Linked DNA regions of Canis lupus familiaris. The protein of the gene in region 2 purifies or fractionates together with the protein of the main gene of each other region. This does not show direct contact. Links are inferred from orthologs where the notes say so. Each region holds a gene or a part of one and is shown on either strand. Other genes may lie near its edges.

Evidence for each region. The genes of interacting proteins can lie anywhere in the genome.
Region 1: the proteins of PSMD11 (region 2) and PSMD9 fractionate together in Homo sapiens (co-fractionation; 3 studies listed by BioGRID and IntAct, with this or other methods). This does not show direct contact. The link is inferred for Canis lupus familiaris from reciprocal best matches to the Homo sapiens genes PSMD11 and PSMD9.

What each region holds. Positions count from the first base shown.
Region 1 is NC_049247.1:7,626,143-7,634,604, forward strand, and holds the start of PSMD9 (26S proteasome non-ATPase regulatory subunit 9), read right to left. Parts: upstream 4,429-8,462; 5' UTR 4,344-4,428; coding exon 4,206-4,343; intron 738-4,205; coding exon 635-737; intron 1-634. UniProt on the Homo sapiens protein: Acts as a chaperone during the assembly of the 26S proteasome, specifically of the base subcomplex of the PA700/19S regulatory complex (RC).
Region 2 is NC_049230.1:40,476,774-40,484,514, reverse strand, and holds the end of PSMD11 (26S proteasome non-ATPase regulatory subunit 11), read left to right. Parts: intron 1-933; coding exon 934-996; intron 997-3,210; coding exon 3,211-3,336; intron 3,337-3,723; coding exon 3,724-3,759; intron 3,760-4,013; coding exon 4,014-4,065; intron 4,066-4,335; coding exon 4,336-4,478; intron 4,479-4,595; 3' UTR 4,596-6,155; downstream 6,156-7,741.

The DNA.
Region 1 (8,462 bases), on a different chromosome or scaffold from region 2:
ACCCTAAAGTTGGAAAACATGTCCAAAGGATGGCACAGCCTGGGATCTGACAGCCAGCCCTGCTCTGCTTCCCTCCAAATGTCTATACTGAGGCACTGAAGGCTCCTGTGTGAGTGACCGCAGTCAGGGCACTATCCTTACCAGCTAGATGCATTTCCTAACACATAACTAGTTTGATCAGGATTGCAAGCAATTTTTTTTAAAGATTTTATTTATATACTCATGAGAGACACAGAAAGAGAGGCAGAGACATAAGCAGAGGGAGAAGCAGGCTCCTCACAGGGAGTCCGATGTGGGACTCGATCCCAGGATCACGCCCTGAGCCAAAGGCAGACACTCAACCACTGAGCCACCCAGGAGTTCCAAATTTTTGACTCCGGTTTCTATCATCACTTTGAAAAAGTTTCCACAGTGAAGTCAAGTCTTTAAGAACAAAATGAAAAATGAAACCATAAATTTTAGAAGCCTAGAGGCCAACCCATTCCCTCACTCAGTCCCTGGATGCGGACAGTGAGCTAATCCCATCAGGGGAGAAGAGAAGGAAGCAGAGAATATGGAATAGTAAGATCATGCTTATGTGCCTTCAGCCTCCCTTGCTGGAAGGCTGGGGATTGGCTGCACGCACACCACTCACAGACGATGTTGTGCCTGGCAGTTCGGACTTGGTACAGGTCCACGTCTGACCGAGGGTAGCCCTCGCAGTCCACCAGTGGCTCATTCATCCCCACGCCCTTTTGCTAGAGGGAAGAAACATGGTTAAGATTTCACAGGTATGAAGTCCTCAAGACATTTTTTTCCCTTGCAGCCATCATAAAGGCGACAGGAATGAAAGCTGCCACATACTGATCACACAGTACAGGCCACGTACTTTCCCCAAATGCTCCCACAACCACCCTCTGTGGTCAGGGGGACGACACACTATTTTTCTTTTTACTGACTTTTAATAACACAAGTAACATCAATCTGTGCTCCTCTTTTTAAGTCAGACAGTGCAGATAAAACTAAAGACTCTTTTGAGCTTCATCCCCAAGGCCAGCCTCTTGGGCTCCTCCAAACCCTCCTTCCAAAAGCAGCTGACACCTGGCTGGTGGCCTTCAAACCCAGAGGGGAGTGAAAGCCCCAAAGAGCATCCAGCTGTGGCAGGACTTTGGTTCTTCCTGAAAGTAAAAAGGGATCTAAAAGGGATTTCAAAGAGGTTTTCATCCCTCGAAGGGCATACTGTTATCAACTGCCATTGGGAGAAGGAATTGGGTGGCTAGGGGACAAGGAAGGCAGAGGGACTTCATTTTCTATTTTTTTGTAGTCTTTTTGAATTTTGATCATGCACACGTATTCCCTATCTAAAATGACACATTTAAAATAAATAAAATAAAATAAAATAAAATAAAATAAAATAAAATAAAATAAAATGACACATTTAACATTTTAAAGTCTTTTCCTACATTAAGTCAGAGGATGGTGCACAATGGCAATGAAACTCGTCCTGTGATGGAGGGCAGAGGGTTTCCAGTCAGTTAGACTTTGATTTGAATCTCAGTCGTGCCGTGTACAATCCGGGTGCCCTTGGTTGAGATCTCCCCTCTCCTGAGGGAGATCCATGACACAGAGAAGATCATGTGACCAGGGGCAGAGGAGTTAGACCACCAAAGCCAGGGATGGCCAGTGACCACCAGAAAATAAGACAGAGGCACTGAACAGATTCTCCCTCAGATCCCCCAGGAGAAACCAACCCTGCCGACAGCTTAGATTTCAGACTTGTGGCCTTCACAACTGTGAGAGAATGAATTTCCATCACTCTGGTCACCCAGTTTGTAGTAATTTGTTATGGGGGCTCCAGGAAATTAATACATGTAAAAGTAATAAATCATGGCTGAATTATTAGTCAGCATAGAGGAAAGCTGCCCAGGGAATATATGTACTGGGATGAGGGATTCCATTCACTTCTCTCCCTTTCTTTCTGGAAGCCACTGGGTTATACCTACCATTTCCTATTGAAGCCCATAGTTTACCTTAGACTTCACTCTTAGTTTTATATTCTACAGGTTTGAACAAATGTATAATGACATGTACCCATCATTACAATCCTATATGGGATACCTACACTGCCCTACAAATCCTCTGTGCTCCATCTATTCATCCCTTCCATCACTTTGGATCCCTGCAACCACTGATCTTTTTAATGTCTCCACAGTTTTGCCCCTTCCAGATTCTGGTTGAAACCCTACAGATGCAGTCTTCTCAGACTGGCTTCTTTCAGTTACTTATAAGCATTTGGGGTTCCTCCAGGTCTTTTCATTGCTCACTAGCCCATTTATTTTTAGCAGTGAGTAATATAGTCTACTGTTTAGAGGTTCATTTTATTTACCTATCCACCTAGTTAAAGACATCTTGGTTGCTTCAAGTCTTGGCAATTACGAAATAAGCTGCTGGAAACATCATGAGGATTTTTGCGTAGACATGTTTTAAACTCCTTTGGGTAAATACCATGGAGCACAACTGCTGGATGGTATGGTAAGAGAATGTTTAGCTTTGCAAGAAACTTGCAGCTCTGAATCAAGAGTTCCCCCACATCCTCAACAGCATCCGGAGTTGAACTGTGATGAATACTGGCCACTTAGACACATGTGTAGTAGTACCTCATGGCTGTTTTAATTGGCATTTCTCTGATGACATATGACATATGTCTTTTGAGATACACGTTTTAAATTCTGATAAATTTTATCTACTTTTTCTTTCATTGCTTGTGATTTTGGCATCACATCTAAGGAGGTTTTACCTGACCCAAGATCACAAAAATTTACTCCTATGCTTTATTCTATAAGATTTATGGTTTTAGCTCCTCCCTCCTTTTTAAAAAAACAATCACAGAGGAGGGCTTCAGGCTTAAAAGCTTTCAGCCTATAACTGTAGCTAGTAAAAAGGAACAAACATATCACCTTGGTATGCATTTTTACCTTATGCTAAAGGGAGGGGAAAAAATCCCTTTCTCATATGCTGTAAAGTTACAAAATTTTCACTTAAGACAAACATATTTAAGTAAAAAAGTGAATCAATATAAAGAAAAATACCAAGGGAATAGTAGTACAGGAGATATTATGGATATAGCATCCCGCTTGAGGTAAAAAGTAAAGTTTGGAAAATTGTTAGCATAATGCTTGAAAACACAAGTTCTGGATTAAACGGGCCTGAGATCTGAATCTCATTTTGTGACTCTAAGCAAGTGACTTCTCTTTTCTGAGCTGGGTAACATACAAACTTCACAAGGTGGTTGTGGATTTCATGATATAACATACACACAAACCAGCACCCTTCAGGCATAATAATCAGCACCCTGCAACATGATACCCTAGTCTTTTGATGCTTGGATTTTACTCTCATCACCTAAAATGCATTGCATCCATTCACCCTATATAGGATGTATTTAATTTATTCTTCCTCTGCAAATTGATTTGTGGTTCTACACTAATTGGCATAAGAAAAACTACCAGTTTGGGGGCTAGACAGACCTGGGAATAGCCCCACCACAGCCACTTCTGGTTACATGACCCTAGACAAGGGTTTGCCTCACCCTGGGCCTCAGTTCCCTTACTTGTCACTCAAAGCTCGGTCTTTAGAGTAGTAGCATCAGCATCGCTGGGAATTTGCTAGAAATAGATCTGCACCTCCGCGCCCCGTCCTCATCAGAAACTGAACTTTAACAAGATCTCCAGGTGCTTGCCAAACATAATGAAAGTTTACGAAGTTCTGACGTAAAGTGAGTTAGCAAAGCACAGATCTTCTGGTACACATTCAACAAGCACCAACGATGGTGGTGATTATCACAATTTATTAGCTCTGTGGCCTGAGGCAGGTTGAAGTAACGCCTCTGTTTCCTCATCCCTAAAATGGGGGGAATAGTAGAACTCACTTCAAAAAGTTGCTGCGAGGGTTAAAGGAGCTAACCACGTAACGCAATTAAAACAGCCCCCAAGCGCCCAACACCGGGTAAGAGCTCCACGAACGCTTGCTATACTAGGCCAGTCGTTCTCAGGGGCTATCGTTAGTTGCTTACCGCCTACTGCCGACAGAGGCCGCAGTTGCCGCGCTTTGGGCCTCCCAGGGAGCGAGAGCTCCACCGCTGAGCGCTCAAACCCAGGCCGCCCCGGCCTCCCCATTCTCCCAGGCTGCCCCCCACGCCCGCTCAGGAGCCCCGAGCCCCCACTCACACTCTCCAGTACGTCATAATTGGCTTTGATCTGCGCCTCGATCTCCTCCTTGCGCCGTATGAGCTCCTGGATGTCACTGACAGTCACCGCGCCGGCCTGCGGGGAGCCTTCGCCCTGCCTGGCTTCCCCCTCCGACATCCTGGACCTCGGCGCGGGATGCGGGACACCAGGCTCCCCGGCTTCCGGGATGCGGCCGCCGGAAGAGACTGTGGCTACGGCTCCGCCCGCGGGCCAAACTTCCTCGAGCGTCAGCGAGCCTGACCTGGGGGAGGGGCCTGCTGGGGGCGGGGCGCCCGGAAGCCACACCCCGCCGGGACAAGTGTTCTGGGGACTAGGGAAGACCAGTCTGGGGAGGAATGGGTTCCAGGTCTGTCACCAGCCAGAACAGGATGATCTCTCCCTCGGTGACTCATTTGCTTTCCATTCATTCAGTAGACATGTACTGAGCGCCTACCATATGTTTGTGCCAAAGCGCTGTGCGAGGCGCTCCAGTTCAGCTCCTCAAATCTACCCAGCCCTTGAGAGATAACGAAACACATTCAGATTCCTTATCCCCCATTTTTAAAATATTTTATTTTTTTATTTTTTAAAGATTTTATTTATTTTTTTAAGATTTTATTTATTTATTCATAGAGACACAGAGAGGCAGAGACACAGGCAGAGGGAGAAGTGGGCTCCATGCAGGGAGCCCGATGTGGGACTCGACCCAGGGTCTCCAGGATCAGGCCCTGGGCTGCAGGCGGCGCTAAACCGCTGCACCACCGGGGCTGCCCGGTTTTATTTATTCATGAGAGACACACAGAGAGAGGCAGAGACACAGGCAGAGGGAGACGTAGGCTCTCTGCGGAGAGCCCATGACCCCAGGGTCACACCCTGAGCCAAAGGCAGACGCTCAACCACTGAACCATCCAGGTGCCCCCTAAGATTTTATTATTTTTAAGTAACCTCCAAACCCAACATGGGGCTGGAACACACAACCCCAGAGATCCAGAGTTGCATGCTTCACTGGCTGAGCCAGCCGGATGCTCCCCTTATTCCCCATTTTACAGACCCTACAAGCTCAGGTTCAAGTCTGGTTCTGGCCACTTAATGCAACCTACATGACCTTGGTAAATTCCTTCACTGCCCTGAGCCTATTTCCTCATCTATAAAATCATTGGATATTGATAGATATCTCAGGGCTGTGATTTTGCTAACAGCTATTTATTGAATGTCTCCTATATGTCATACACTGTCCCAGGAGCTGGAAAGATAAAGAACTGAGTTACTACTCAATGTCTCTTACGTACTAAGACCTCTTTAAATTTTGGCAAAAATAGTGATGATAATAACTTACCAAATTCATACAATGTGCCAGACACTGTTCTAAATGCCGTATGTGTATCAATTCAACAGCCCTCTGGGGGCGTCTGGGTGGCTCATTTGGTTAAGTAAGTATCTCCCTTCTGCTCTGGTCATGATCCCAGAATTCTGGGATGGAGCCCCACATCAGGCTCCCTGATCAATGGTGAGTCTGCTTCTCCCTCTCCCTCTGCTGCTCCCCCAGCTTGTGCTTGCTCTCTTTCTCTGTCAGATAAATAAATAAAATATTTAAAAAAAAAACAGCCTTGTGAAATCAGGGTTAGTACTGTTCTCATGTGACAACTGAGAAAACCCTTTCAATAACCAACTTGCCGGGATCCCTGGGTGGCGCAGTGGTTTAGCGCCTGCCTTTGGCCCAGGGCGCGATCCTGGAGACCCGGGATCGAATCCCACGTCGGGCTCCCGGTGCACGGAGCCTGCTTCTCCCTCTGCCTATGTCTCTGCCTCTCTCTCTCTCTCTCTCTGTGTGACTATCATAAATAAATAATAAATAAATAAAAAATAAATAAATAAATAACCAACTTGCCCAAACAGCAGAATAAGCTTCCAAATTTTCAACCTAGCCTAACCAAATAATGAAACAACATTTAAACATGTGCCCCCTAATATATTGCACTAAAAGGATACACCACACTGGTGTATTATTCAAAAATGTTTGTCCTGAATCTAATCATGGTAAATAAATTCAAATTAAAGAACACTCTTCAAAACAACTGCCTTGAACTCTTCAAAAAAGGTCAGTGTTGTGAAATACATATATACAAGCTAGGCAATTGCCTAGCTTAAAGACTAGGGACAAGAGAGGCAACTTACTTTCAAATGGTTCAGGAAGGGCAGCCCGGGTGGCTTAGCGGTTTAGCGCCCCCTTCAGCCCAGGGCCTAATCCTGGAGACCCAAGATCAAGTCCAAGTTGGGCTCCCTGCTTGGGGCCTGCTTCTCCCTCTGACTCTCTCTCTCTCTCTCTCTCTGTGTCTCTTGCGAAAAAATAAATTTTAAAAATCTTTAAAAAGGGCAGCGCCAGTGGCTCAGCGGTTTGGCCCCACCTTCAGCCCAGGGCCTGATCCTGGAGACCTGGGATCAAGTCCCACGTCGGGCTCCTGGCATGGAGCCTGCTTCTCCCCCTGCCTGTGTCTCTGCCTCTCTCCCTCTCTCTCTCTCTCTCTCTCTCTCTCTCTGTGTGTGTCTCTCATGAATAAATACATAACATCTTTTTAAAAAATCTTTAAAAAAACACAAATGGTTCAGGAAAAAAGAACAAATATATATTTGTGGACAAGAGAATGGTAAGGTAAATGTGATAATGTGTAAATAGTGATTCTGAGTAAAACATATACAAACATTCTTACTATCTTTGCTACTTTTCTGGAGGTTGAAATTCTTTTAAAATAAAAAGTTACAAAAGTAATCCTTATACAGAAAAAAAGTATAATTAATTACATTCAGCCTCCTATATTTTGTTCAGTTATCCTTTTTCTTTTTTCTTAAGATTTTATTTATTTGAGAGAGAGAGAGCACAAGCAGGAGGAGGAGAGGGAGAAGGAGAAGGAGGAGAGGGAGAGGGAGAAGCAGACTCCCCACTGAGCAGGGGGCCTGAGGCGGGGCTCTATCCCAGGACCCTGAGATCAAGACCTGGGCCAAAAGCAGACATTTAACCAACTGAGCCACCTACACACCCCTGCTTTTTGTTTTTTTAAATAATCTAATATCCAATTAGGGATTGTGCAAGTATTTAGTTATGTCTCTCCCTTTTCTTTTTTTTTTTTTGGGGGGGGGGTGTCAATGTTAGAAACGTTAGTTTATTTTAAAAAGATAATTGCAGGGTGCCTAGGTGGCTTAGTTGGTTAAGCGTCTGCCTTTGGCTCAGGTCATGATCTCAGGGTCCTGGGATGGAGCCCCGCCTCAGGCTCCCTGCTCAGTGGGAAGTCTGCCCCCTCCTCTTCCACTCCAATCCCCTACTGGTGCACACTCTCTCTCAAATTAATAAATAAAATCTCTAAAAAAATAAAAAATAAAAGCAGCAGGGATGCCTGGCTGGCTCAGTTGGAGACTCATATGACTCCTGATCTCAGGGTGTGAGTTCCAGTCCCACATTGGGCGCAGAGATTACAAAAAAGAAGAAGGAGGAGGAGGAGGAGGAGGAGGAGGAGGAGGAGGAGGAGGAGGAAGAGGAGGAGAAAGAAGAAAGAAGAAGAAGATTAAATTAAATTAAAATAAAAACATCAGCTTTAAAAGAATTATTAGGGAGTGCCTAGGTGGCTCAGTAGTTGAGCATCTGCCTTCTGCTCGGGTTGTGATCCTGGAGTCCTGGGATCAAGTCCTGCATCAGGCTCCCTGCAGGGAGCCTGCTTCTCCCTCTACCTGTGTCTCTGCCTCTCTCTGTGTGTATCTCATGGATAAATAAATAAAATCTTAAAAAAAAAACACATTATTGAGACAATTGTTGAAATGTTTAATATGAACTTTATATTATAGTATTGTATCTATGGTAAATTCTTCAGTAAGTTAATGATATTGTAATTATATAAGAGAATCTCCTTATTCAAAGAAATGAATGCTGAAGTATTTAGAGATGTAGTGTCCTAATTTCTGCAACTAACTTGCAAGTGGTTCAGGAAAAAAGCTGTACATACACACACCTAAATATAAAGGTGGGGGAGAATAAGATGAGAGAGAGAGAGAAAGACAGACAGACAGAAATAGATTGAGGGAAAGGCAAAATGTAACAAGTGAGTGAAGAATATACGAAAGTTTATGAAACTATCTTGCAATTCTTGAGGTTTAAAATTTTTCCAAATAAAAAGTGCAGAGTGAAGATTCCTACCCATGCCTCGTGTGCTGTATATGTGGGAAGTTTTCCACTTATCTGAAACCAGAGCTATTGTTTAAGTCACTATA
Region 2 (7,741 bases):
TTGGGTTATCTGGCTCTTAGTTCTAGGCTTTTCTCATTATGACATTTTCTCTCTCTGGGACAAATACTGTGACACACTACACTAATGGTTAGTTTTGCACTATTTCAAACTCTGCCTTACGACATACCATCTTTATGTAAATGCATGGGCTGTACCAGAGAAGCTACTTCTGGTCATTTGGACCTTGATGACAGCTTTCAAGTAGGAGTTAGGACAGACTCCCAGAAAGATTGTAGATTTCTTGCTGAGTGAATGTGCCTTTTATAATGAGGCTAGAAGTTTACCTCAACCACTGATTGTACCTTCATCTCTCTATGGCATTTTAACATTGAGTATATAATATGTAGAATTTTGGTGTCTCAACCCTAATGAAAGTAGATCTTGGATCTTGCTCTGTACCAAACCTAGCAGAATGAGACTTGGAAGCACAGGTATGACCAGGTCTAAGGGCAAGAAAGTCAGTGGGCTTTGGGAATAAGGAGCCTTGGAGGAGGGGGAAAGAGATCACAGTTCTCTGGTCATTTTTTCTTTTAGCTTGTCCTCTTTGGTGAATGCCATATAAGGGCCTTTTTTCTTTTTTCTTTTTCTTTTTCTTTTTCTTTTTCTTTTCTTTTCTTTTCTTTTCTTTTCTTTTCTTTTCTTTTCTTTTCTTTTCTTTTTTCTTTTCTTTCTTTTCTTTCTTTTTTTCCTTTTTTTCCTTTTTAATTTTTCTATTTCCTAGTATTTTTAAGTCATTTCAGATTTCAAAGGGAGACTGGTGGCACACTGGTGGTGGTCTAGCTTTTCTTCCAGGCCTCTGAAGAACATTTGTGGGGTGGGTTCTTCCTTGTAGCCAGAAGTTGTGTGGACATAGCATACTGCTTAAGGCATATATTGGATGGGATGTGAATGTACAGAATAGATCACTGTCACTGTTTTTCTCTTTACTCTTAGACAGAAGCATTAAAATGTGTGGCTCAGGCTAGCAAGAATAGATCACTGGCAGATTTTGAAAAGGTAAGCAGGGTATTGGGTTGGTAGGGAATGGGTGGAGGAGAGGGGCATTTACTTAAAAAAAATCTCTTTATTTGTAAATAATTATAGTTTCATAAGAATTTTCAAAGACTGTACCCAATGATCCCATGTATTACTCATCCAATTTTCCCCAGTGGTTGCATTTTAATTATAGTACAGTATCAAAACCTGGAAATTTTATACAACAAAACTTGTTGAGTTGTAGTACCTCATTTATATATAGTACCTTTCAGTTTCAAAAAGTTCTTTTATCTGGGCGCCTGGTTAAGTGTCTGACATGATCCTTGGGTCCTGGGGTCGAGCCCCATGTTGGGCTCCTGCTCATCAGGAATTCTGCTGCTCCCTCTTTCGCTGCTTCGTGCTCACTCTTGCTCTACTCTCTCAAATAAATAAAATCTTTAAAAAAATGTTCTTTCATCCTTTTTCACTTGGATTTTTTTCTTCTCTCTCTCTCTCTCTCTCTCTTTTTAAAGATTTTTTATTTATTTGAGAGCAGGGTGAGTGAGAGAAAACATGAGTCGGGTGGAAGAGGGAGAGGAAGAAGCAGACCTCCCCTACTGAGCAGGGAGTCTGGTGCAGGGGCTCATTCCCAGGACCCCGGGATCATGACCTGAGCCAAAGGCAGATACTTAATGACTGAGCCACCCAAGCTCCCTGTCACTTAGATTTTTCACAACAAACCTCTTCTCTGCATTTTATGGTTGAGGGAGCTGAGCCTATGGTTCAGGGAGAGTGCTTGAAGCCCCACAGCTCACGTGTCAGGCCTCAATGCCAGGCCTGGCACTTATTTTGCACGCCATGGTCATAGAGTTTCCTTCAACTCCAGCAGTGCCAGCTCTGCTTCTCTTGTGGGCGTGAGAAAGAGTCTTGCTATGTGCACATGGACCAGAAGACACTTCCCGAGGTTGATGTTCCAGGCTGGCTTTGCCTCCTGTGCCTTTTACTCATTGTTAGCCAAGGTTTGAAAAGGGGAAAAAACATGCCTAAGCAGTAGAGTGAGACTTTGTATATTCTCTTCTGAGCCTCTCTTCTCCTAGTCTCAGTATAATGACCAACTTAAAAACAAATGTAGATCTAGAAAGAAAAACTTAATTGTGGATAGAGGCTAAACCATTTGGCTCTGGCTGTCTCCAAGATTCCACATCTTTGTTGAGCTTTCTTGCCAATTTCACTTCCTTACTTGGCATGATTTGCTTCTTCTCTTAACACCTTGTAGCACAGCTGACATGAGGCTGGATATTTAGACCATTCCTCAAAGTAAATAAATTACATACATGAATAAACAAAGTAGACTAGATCATTTTATCCTAAAGTTTGGGATGTTTGATGGGGATAAGGGTCTGGGATACATGAGGGCTGAACAAAATTAGGTGTTTTGTTTCCTGTTAACTGCAGAACTATATGCTGATGTGCTCATAAAACTCCATGAGCCAGGGGATCCCTGGGTGGCGCAGCGGTTTGGCGCCTGCCTTTGGCCCAGGGCGCGATCCTGGAGACCTGGGATCGAATCCCACATCGGGCTCCCAGTGCATGGAGCCTGCTTCTCCCTCTGCCTGTGTCTCTGCCTCTCTCTCTCTCTCTGTGACTATCATAAAAAAAATAAATAAATAAAAAAAAACAACTCCATGAGCCAGTTGTGGGATTAAGCATTTCCCATTATTTTTTATTTATTTTTAAAGAGAGAACACAAACTAACACACACGGAGGGGGAAAGGCAGACAGAGAGAATCTTAAGCAGACTCCATGCCCATCCGGACATGGGGCTCAATCTCACGCCCCTAACATCATGACCTGAGCTGAAATCAAGAGTCAGACGTTTAACTAACTGAACCACCCGGGTGTCCAAGCATTTCTCATTATTTAATCGCAGAAAAAAAATTTTTTTTTTTCATGGAGACCCTGTTTACTCTTTGGGATACATGCGGAGAACTGCTTGTGTAGTATCGGGCTTACGTGGTTTGGGCTGTCAACATGAGGCCTTCTGACAGAAAGGTGGTGCCTAGAAGGGTCTCCATCTTTTAGTTCCTGATGTTTCCTTTCCTTTGCCTTCTGGCATAACTTTTCTTTCATCTCAGATCCTCTAGAGCTTCAGTCAGTTATGTGTTTACAAGGCCCAGCAAACTACTTAGGAAGCTAGGAGTAGCGTGACTTTAGGTGCTTCTCTGTGCCAATCTCTGTGACTGGCTTTCTTGGCAGGCCCTGACAGATTATCGGGCAGAGCTCCGGGATGACCCAATCATCAGTACACACTTGGCCAAGTTGTATGATAACTTACTGGAACAGAATCTGATCCGAGTCATTGAGCCTTTTTCCCGAGTTCAGGTAAGGACCCTCTTGGGGACTCTGATTCTTTGGCTAGCCATTCTGTCTAGTCCCCTCCGTTCCCACGTGTCCAGAATAGGAACTTGCATCCAAGGCTGTGTCTGGTGGGCAAGAAGGCTTGGGCTTTTCTTGCCATAGGAATAAGTGTTAAGGAAATTCTATGGGATGGAGGCCAGTGAGATTGCCCTGCTCATCCTGAGTACAGTCCCCTCCTTGCTTCTGTAGTCACCGTGCATGTGGTAGATGTCTGTCTACAGTGGGTATGTGGGACGGGAATGTGTGTTGTCTAATGGTGAGAGGCCTAAGCATGACCAAAGAGAGTTTGGCCCCACGTTAGAGGCAGAAGTAGGACTCTCAGTGTCACTGTCTCTCTGCCTTTTCTTGTAGATTGAACACATATCTAGCCTCATCAAACTCTCTAAGGTAAGGAGTCCTGAGCTTGTCTTGGGGGCAGGGACAGGGAAAGGGGCTGGGGAAGTGGTTAGCATTTGTACTCAATGGGCCTTGTTGGAAAGTCCTCAAACTTCATGGTGTGGCGTGGGGACTGTGAGCTCAGAGCTCGAGTTTCACTGTTGCTGTTTTATTGACAATCTGTTTGCCCTTTTGTACAAAACTTGTGTCAGTGTGATCTCTGACTAGTGGATACCGATCCCTTTAATCATATGCTTTGATTTTAGGCCGACGTGGAAAGGAAATTATCACAGATGATTCTTGACAAGAAATTTCATGGTGAGTAACAGTGGTGAAGCAGTTGAGGCATCATGCTCTTGTTTATCTTGAAAGATGTTCCATTTATTTCACCTGGTAGCTCCCTGGGATCCTCACCATACTTATCCCTGTGATGAGAGTATGCATAATAAATATGCACAAATGGAACACGGAGATGATTTCTGATTCTCCTTCCTGGAGAAAGGGAGGCAGCTAGGGAGCGGGCTGCTTCTCAGGTGCCTTTGTATCTCATCCCTTCATTTACCTGGGTTGCCCTTTTGTTTCCTACAGGGATCTTGGACCAGGGGGAGGGTGTCTTGATTATTTTCGATGAACCCCCAGTAGATAAAACTTACGAAGCTGCTCTGGAAACCATTCAGAACATGAGTAAAGTAGTGGATTCCCTCTACAACAAAGCCAAGAAACTGACATAGGTGAGTGCCGGCTCTGGGACCCAGCCCGGGCAGCGCCGTCTTCTGCCTGTTGAGACTGAAAGCCTCTGGGTGGCCTCGCAGCTTCCCCGATTGACACTGCTCTGTCTTCTCTTGCAGAGTTGGATCTGTAGCGGTCCTTTGGAGAGTGTGTGTGGCGGGAGAGTGAAACCTTTGGGGAAAATGCTAGGAGATTCTTTTTTCTTTTTGTTCTACTTTTCGCTCGGAAAGTTTTTAAATCCTCATTTGGTGCATCTGTATTCCAGCCAATAGGTGTGCCAGTTTTCATGTAATCTTTACTGGCCCAACTTGGGAGTGGGGAAATTGCTTAAAAAAAAAGAAAAAGAAAAAAAAAAGGTTATTCTGAATAAAAGGAAAAAGGCTTACACTACCTAAAGCTGTGCTCTCTGCCTCCTGGGAGAGGGCCGCAAAGCCAGGAGCCTCGTCAACCACTGGGGCTCCTAATCCACCTGCTGGGCGTCACCTCTCCTCCTCTTCAGAATTGGGTGTTTGCCTGACCATCAAAGCAACGACTTTTTATTGTTTGTACTGAACCAAAACAAACAACTGTGTATAGACTGCTATTTTCTTTTTTATTTGAAATGAGGCGTTTTGGTGTTCTTTCCCCTGCCACATGGCCTGTCACCTGCCCTTCCCCCCCAACAATGGCTCCAGCAGACTGGCCCGAGGGCCTGCCGCCGCCGCCGCCACCGCAGCAGCACCTGCACAGCTCCGAGCTGACCTGTGGAGGAATGGGGACGAGGCCAGGAGCTAGTGTCCACAAGGGCCACACGGGAGCAGTGTGGGCCCTCAGGGGGCCTGCTGTGCATGTGGCTCTTTTTAACACAGTAAACTAGATTAGACGTCAGTGTTTTAATTGCCCTCTCTGCTCTTCTCTCTGTCCCTTCTCTTTCCCCTCTCCACCAGGAGACCATCACATGTCTCTTTTCCTCCCTCCTTCCCCTTCAGGGGAGTCAGGCTGTCTGAAATCCATCAGCTTCTCTCCCTGTCCCACTCCTCCTCCTGCTGTCAGATGGATTTAGTCTTTTTTTAACCAAGTGAACATTGAAAATGAGACTGTGGGGTGTGGGTTTTCTTTTTTTTCTTTCGTTTTTGTTTTTTAAACCTTTGTTGTTGGGTTTTTGAGCAACCTCATGTCCCCCTCCCAGGGAGCTGCTTTATTTACCTCTTAGAAACTGAACGGCTGGGAGGTAGAGCGTTGTATTTCAGCATGCTTTGTGTTATGATGAGATCACGTAGTGAGGCTTTCGTGCCATTTGGGCAGGTGAGCTTCTGCACCTCTGCCGTGCCCAGCGATATTTCTTCCTCCTCATTTTTTTTGTCTTCTCTTTTCCTCCTCCCCTCATGCCTCCTTCCTGCTGGCCTCCTTTTCTCTTTCTTTTCCTTTCTCAGATTATCCTTCCAGGTTTTCGTAATAAATTTATATTTTGTAAAAGGATTTTGTTGTACCAGGTTTTGCATCCTCACTGAATCTGACTGGCTTTTACTTTCCTCTCCAGAATCAGGTTTTTGTTCTCAACATCTCTTCCCATCATGTCCAGTCACTGTTTTGGTTTTGGCACCATCAATATCAAATGTACAAACGGTTCTTGCTAACCAACACCAGGTATATCTGATGTTCAGATGAGTTCCAATAAAAACAATTTTTTTTTTCAAAAAGTGTCCTTTTCTTGAGTGCTGGAGGGCTTCTGAACAAGTCCACACAGCTCAGTAGCCTTCTAGACTGGCCAAAGCTCTGGTACCATGTTTGCTTCATGGGAGACCTTTTGATCTGGGATAAAGTGGAGGGCTTTGAGGAAGAAATTTGATCGGTCAGGTCTGAAATGGGAAGTGGTATGCAGGCATCCTCCTGTTTTTCCAAGGCAACATGGTCCAGTGAGGGCACGGGTTTGGGCTGGAAGATCCTCTGCTGGTAGGTAATTGTGATGGGAAGGTTATATGAAGTCATGCAAGTGCCCGGAGAGGCCTGCAGTTGTGGTTTGGTTTTTAGTTGAAATCTTCAAAAGCAGTGAATTTTCATACTACCCCTTGGACCCTGGCTGCATTCTTCTGAGGGGCTCTGCGGCCACTGGGAAGACGGGGTGGGCTCTCAGCGCCAGCTCCACTTGAGTCAGAACTACTTGTTACTCTTTCAGTTTTGTATAGTCTCTGTGTAGTTTCACTTGAAGACTTGCTTGCCTAAAGGACTGTAAGAACTATTCCAAAGGGATCCAGCCCTGGAGTTGGAGAGGAGGGAGGGTTTCCCAAGCCTACTAGGGCAGCCCCAAGGAGCTGAGGTGGCAGCAGCCTGTGGCTCCCTTTGTGGGTCTGATGACCTCCTCTAGACCCGTGCTGTCCATGGTGTAGCCACTAGCCACACAGGCCTCTTCAGTCTTTGATATGTGGCTAGTTGGAAGTGTGATGCATTGCAAATGTAAATACAAACCAGATTTTGATGACAGTATGAAAAAATGTAAAATAGCTCAACTTTTTAAATATATATGTTGAAATATTTTGAGCATAATGGGTTAAATAAAATATATTATTAAAATCCATCTGTTTCTTTTAATTTTTTTAATGTGGCTACTTGAAAATATTCAATTACCTATGTGGCTTGCATTTGTGGCTCACATTATATTTTTTTGGACAGTGCTGCTCTAGACCTCCAGGGCTGCTTTTCCTCCCTGGCCTCAAGTACTCTGGATCTGGGCACAGTTGAGAGGGTTGGGTGGCCCATAGGCTGGCCTGGGCCCCGTTTCTTCACCTGGGGACCCTCCTGGCACCAGTCTTAAGGGTGCTAAGACTTTCTGGTGTGCTAATGAGACAGCCGTGGTGTTGGGAGGAGAGGCTGAGGTGCTTGGCTCTGGAGCACTGCTGCGTACTAGTTATATAATCTGTGCTGCCCAGAAGGGCCACTAGATGCTGCTCTGTGATCCCTGAAGGAACAAAGCACGGCTTCCTCAGAAGCCAGGGCTTAGCCTAGCTTTATTTGGAGCCCTTTCTGGAGGGTAGCTGGCTGGGGCCTTGCCCTCTCTTTCTTGGGGTGGTATGGGAATGGGGCCATGCAGGGGTCAGGGATTCTCTGGTGACACATGGGAACACCAGCCCAAGAGCGCACATAACAAGCAGGCTGGCCCTTCTGGCAGTGAGAGGTAGGCTATAGGATAAAAGCCTGGTTGATGGTGGGGTTTGGAGCTCTTTCCTGTCGTTCTCTGAAGAATGGGAAGAATACAGCTCTGATTCGCTCAGCTGGGTCTGCAGTCTGG